2 linked regions of the Kluyveromyces lactis genome follow. The protein of the gene in region 2 binds, or shares a complex with, the protein of the main gene of each other region. Links are inferred from orthologs where the notes say so. Each region holds a gene or a part of one and is shown on either strand. Other genes may lie near its edges. The genes, in order: ARC15 and ARC19.

What was found.
Region 1: ARC19 (region 2) and ARC15 share a complex: the UniProt entries of both Saccharomyces cerevisiae proteins name them as parts of the arp2/3 complex. The link is inferred for Kluyveromyces lactis from reciprocal best matches to the Saccharomyces cerevisiae genes ARC19 and ARC15.

The regions. Positions count from the first base shown.
Region 1 is NC_006039.1:699,422-701,877, forward strand, and holds ARC15 (Arc15p), read right to left. Parts: upstream 1,254-2,456; coding exon 792-1,253; downstream 1-791. Other genes in the region: YRB2 (Yrb2p), read right to left, coding at 1-486; ARG56 (bifunctional acetylglutamate kinase/N-acetyl-gamma-glutamyl-phosphate reductase), read right to left, coding at 1,600-2,456. UniProt on the Saccharomyces cerevisiae protein: Functions as a component of the Arp2/3 complex which is involved in regulation of actin polymerization and together with an activating nucleation-promoting factor (NPF) mediates the formation of branched actin networks.
Region 2 is NC_006041.1:1,625,335-1,627,962, forward strand, and holds ARC19 (Arc19p), read right to left. Parts: upstream 1,261-2,628; coding exon 745-1,260; downstream 1-744. Other genes in the region: DAL81 (Dal81p), read right to left, coding at 1-367; snoRNA-splicing protein PRP40, read left to right, coding at 1,759-2,628. UniProt on the Saccharomyces cerevisiae protein: Functions as actin-binding component of the Arp2/3 complex which is involved in regulation of actin polymerization and together with an activating nucleation-promoting factor (NPF) mediates the formation of branched actin networks.

The sequences.
Region 1 (2,456 bases), on a different chromosome or scaffold from region 2:
GTCCTTATTTCCATCTTTCTCAGTGGTTTTAGCCGCAGGTAAACCAGCAGAAAAAGCATTGGCTGCTCCAAATGGTTTAGTTGCCACTCCAAAGCCAGAAACAAAACTTGAAGATTGGCCAAATGTGAACGATGGTTTTTCCACGTCTTTTTCTGGTTTAGGTTCTGTTTTCTTCCCTTCTATCTCTGCCTTGGCGCCCTCATCTTTTTCCTTGGCCTCTTCTTCTTTTTTATTATTTGTATCTTCTTCTTTTGTTACCGCTGTTTCCGTTGTCTCAGCAGTTTCAATATTTTTAGGTCTCTCTACGGAATTGGCCTCTTCATTTGCTGTATCATTCTCTGTTATGAACTTATCAGTCTCTTCTGAAGGTTTTGCTTCATCTTTATCATTGAGTTTGACCTTCTTCACAGGAGTTTCTGTGCTTTCTAATTCCGAATTCACCTCAGGAAGCGCACGTTTATTGCTATCGTTTAAAGTTTCTGGCATTGTGAAAAGCAGGAACAATATACTGGAGCCTTCTTGACAATATTATAACCCTTTCTTGGCATATGTCTGTGCTTTCAATAAGAACTGAATGTTTAAAACTAGTACTTTCTCTTTTTTTTTTTTTTGGAAATACTAACTCTGAGAGGTCCCAGTAATACTTAATAAAGGGCCTGCACTCCATGTGAACAAAGGCCAAACAAACAAAGATCCGTAATGATCGCCCATTGGTAGGTGAAACTGGATCATATACGTTAGAGTAAATATATCATACTAAATTAAGTAAAATCGTACTGTTATATAGTTCTTTATACAGTTCTTCTATCCGAGAGATAGTGAACGATTGGATTGACACCCGCAACTTGCGTTAACTTTTCGAACCATGCGAGAAGGATACCCCCATGCTTTTGACCCTCAGGTATAGACATACCCTTGTATAGGTATTTTATCAATGCGTCTTGTTGCTTGCGATCCAAGCGCTTAACTATATTAGCAATATCCACTTGTCTCACTTGGGTTAGCACCTCCAATATACCAGAGAAATATTGTGATTTCGCTTGTTCGTCGGCGTTGTATGGAGGATCAGTTGTGAATAGCTCAACAGCAGCTGCAAAATCACCAGATGATGTGTAAGAACGTAACTGTTGAATGGTTGGCTGTAACTCTTGTAAACTCACGGTATGTGAATATGGTGGTTTCAAATCATCCGCCGTTAATCTCCCACTTTCAGGATCGTAAGCATCGATATCAATTCTTCTCCAGTCTTCCATATTACTAGTTCAGAAGGCAGCTGCTTGGATGAATACGATAAGGATAATTCAGCGCTAATGCTTCCTGATAAAAGAAGTAGACCGGCCTGCAGTTATTTCGAGTATTTTAACCTAATCCATTTAAAGGTTTCCATTCAATATGAATCCCATTCAATAGTAACTTATAGGAGATATCCGGGTAATAAATCTGGAAACAGGGTAACTATGGTTTACAGCACTGGACCGATTGACTGTTTATCACTGACAGGAAGAACGATAAGCAGATGATAACATTATCTTCTTATACATATATATTAACTAAGTTCAAATTGATATAGATATACGGGTTATTCTTTGGTGGTTCCGTTTATTGAATAATCTTATTGTCTGGAATACCGTCGTATTCACCGTAACTCAAGGCCAGGTTGATGTTCTGTAAGCATTGAGTGGCAGCACCCTTCAATAAGTTGTCAATAGTAGCACAGACTACGACACGGTCTTTTGCATCATTTACCTTGAAACCACCAACAACTACTCCGTGAGTACCAGAAACGTCCTTAACTAACGGAATATCATCGGCAACATGTACCAACTTTTCGTTAGCGTAGAATTCGGTGTACAAGGCCTTAATTTGTTCTGAAGATAGTGAGTTCTTCTTAATAGGAATAGAAATAGTATGAGAAATACCTTGGAACCATTGGGCAACATGAGGAACAAATGCGACTTCCAAACCCAAACGAGTTGAAATTTCACGCTCATGGATATGGTTTGTTAAGGAGTAAGGAATTAGATTGTTGTTCAAGAATTTTGGATCATTCTTTGGAGATGGTGTAGTACCAGCACCAGAATAACCAGAAACACCAAAGACTGTGGGTAATCCTGTGATGTATTCCGATAGAGGAGCAATCGCTACTTGGGCACCGGTGGCGTAACAACCGGGGTTAGCAATCTTTTTAGCATTGGCAATTGCTTCTCTGTTGTTTAACTCTGGTAATCCGTAGCTCCATTCCGTCTCCGGGACAAATCTATGATCAGCGGATAGATCGACAATTTTGGATTTACCGTTGGCAACCGACTCAATGGCCTCAACGAATGGTTCGCACACTTTGTTTGGCAACGCCATGACCCACACATCGACAGCACCTTCACTTTCTAGTTTCTTTATGTCATCAATTTGTAGATTCGAATAAATAATCTCAGACTTGTTATATCCTTCCAACTTCT
Region 2 (2,628 bases):
TACTCGTATAATCATCATTGAAATTCAACATGGAGTTATTATGATTTTTAAACCCACCAATATTATCACGTTCTTCATTCTCTTCACGCGCATTATCATTATCATCATCGCCATTATCAACTACAGCATTTAAGTTACCGCCATTACCACTAGTAGTATTGGTACCCGAAACCTTATTCTTCAAGTTAATGTTTCTTGGAGAGCTCGACGCAGACGCCGAACCTGCTTCAACTGAAGTGGTCTCCTTACCAGTTCTAATACTGTTCCCAGCGTCCTCAGGGTTCCCTGTACCAGAATCCACATCTTCAGAAGAATCGGCCTTCCAGAGAGAGTCACCACCATTAACGGATGCTGCGCTTCCACTCATCGCGCTCTTTGATAAACCTGTCGAAACCTTGATATACAAAAGCAAAGAGAATAGTAAAGACAGACTCTATCTCAAACGCTTTACACCACAAAATCCTTCAGTACAAGAGACTTGCACCCTAAAACTACCGAATCTAGTCACTTGAAGCAGCCAAATACGCGTCCAAGGTCCCTAAATCACCGTCCGATGCGTTATCAACAAACAAACGTTTATCTTTTCCTCAGTACGTTTCCATTTATTAACCTTCTTTGTTGGTTTCGAAAAATCTCATATAGCCGGGTAACAAACCAATGGAACTAGGAACGGTTCACGTGATCATAATACTTTGTTTAACTATACATGGACTATACATCTATATATCCACGAGAGTTGGCAATCTAGTAGACGAATTGTTCCAAGTACGCTTCTGCTGCGAATCTAGCTCTGGCGTTCAAGAACAATTTCATTTCAGAGATTTCTTTGTCGACCTCTTCCATGAAGTCGATGATGAATTCGATCAATTTCTCGGTAATCATAGTCTCGGTGTGTTTATTTGTGATCAAGAAAGAGATACTATACCCAGGCACTGGGACACGTCTTAGCACGTAAAAATTCTCTGCTCTTTGTTCGAGGAAACTGGTGAATTTGTGTACCAAAATTTGTTCAATCTCATCTGCTTGTTTCACTTTAATACTCATACGGACGGAGTTGACACTTGGTTCGATTAGAACTTGTTCGTGTTCATTACGTGCGATATGCATAGGTTGTAATAGAAGTTCTGCACTTGTATTGTCCACTTCGACCTCAGGTCTGTTGTGTCTTTCCACTTCTTGAGAGGAGAAGTTTGATAGATTCAAAGCAGCTTGCAATGAGTAACGCACTGCTGTTAAGTATGGACGTAGCGATTGAGACATTTTTCCTTCACTTATTAACTGATGGGTTGGAGAACTGCAGCTTTTACGGTGACAATGGCCAAAAGATGGGGTTGCAAACCTGTCTTTATTCAACGTTATCGGTTGTGATTTGGTTCAAATAGGGTCAAAAGAATTAATTCTGAATGAAATTTCAGCACATTAACTGGACCAATGTAAGAAAGAAGACACGGAAAACTAGAAATTGCTGGGTCAAATGAGGCCATTGGATGCCAAAAACTGTGGAAATGATGGAAGGGAATCATCAGGCTTATTTTGTCCTAAGTTTCAGGTCTGATGGAGGCATTGATCCCACGTTATAGCATTCTTACCACAGCTTAATACAATCAGGGTAACAAGGTTTATGATCTAATATTATGAATTGAAATCTCAATCCAAATGATTTAAACTGTGTTAGCGATGGGATGAGGGGATGAGACGACCATCAGTTATCCAAGTGTCTAGATAGCAATTCTCCAGCCAGAAACATTTTAATTTCAAATGTCCTGGCAAGAGACCAAAGATCCTCAAGGAAGAGTCTATTATTATAATGATACAGGACAGACCACTTGGGAAAAACCAGAAGAGCTATTCACCGAGTTTGAAAGGAAGCTGCTGAAATATGGTTGGAAAACTGCTCTTGCAGAGGATGGTAGGGTTTATTATTACAAGTCAGACACAGGAGAGACTACGTGGAACGTGCCGGTTTTTGAGAACGATGATAACCGTGATGAGAGAAGTATACCAACCAAATCGTCTGGCAAAGCTGGGCAACCGGATACTGCATCGGCAGCTGACACCAACTCTACACAGGTAGAAAGTGGAAAAGATGTAGATGTACAAAAAATCTTGAAAGATAGCGAGAACAAATACAAAAACGAATCAGAACTTTTGGTTGTACGAAAGGCTCCATCAAAGGAAGAAGCCGAGAAGGTGTTTTTGCAAATGTTACAAGATAACGAAGTGGATTCTACATGGTCGTTCAATAGGATTATTCGCGAAATTGGGAACAAAGATCCGCATTATTGGATCATAGATGATGACCCATTGTGGAAACAATCAATGTTTGACAAGTTCTTGTCGAACAGAACAGAATCGGAGTTGATTAAAGAGCATCAACATTTGGAAAAATTCGAACAGGCCTTTATAGAAATGCTTGAGAAATTGCCCAACATTCGTTACTATTCGCGTTGGAAAACTATCAAGAGGCAGATAATGAATGAACCTATTTACAAGCATTCTGTCATTGATGAGAAACAGAAAAAGCGTACGTTCCAAAGGTACATATCTTCATTACAGCATGAACACGAAGCACAGCATACCAAAGTTAGAAACGAGGCATTAAAAGAATTGAATCTGTATTTTGTTAGC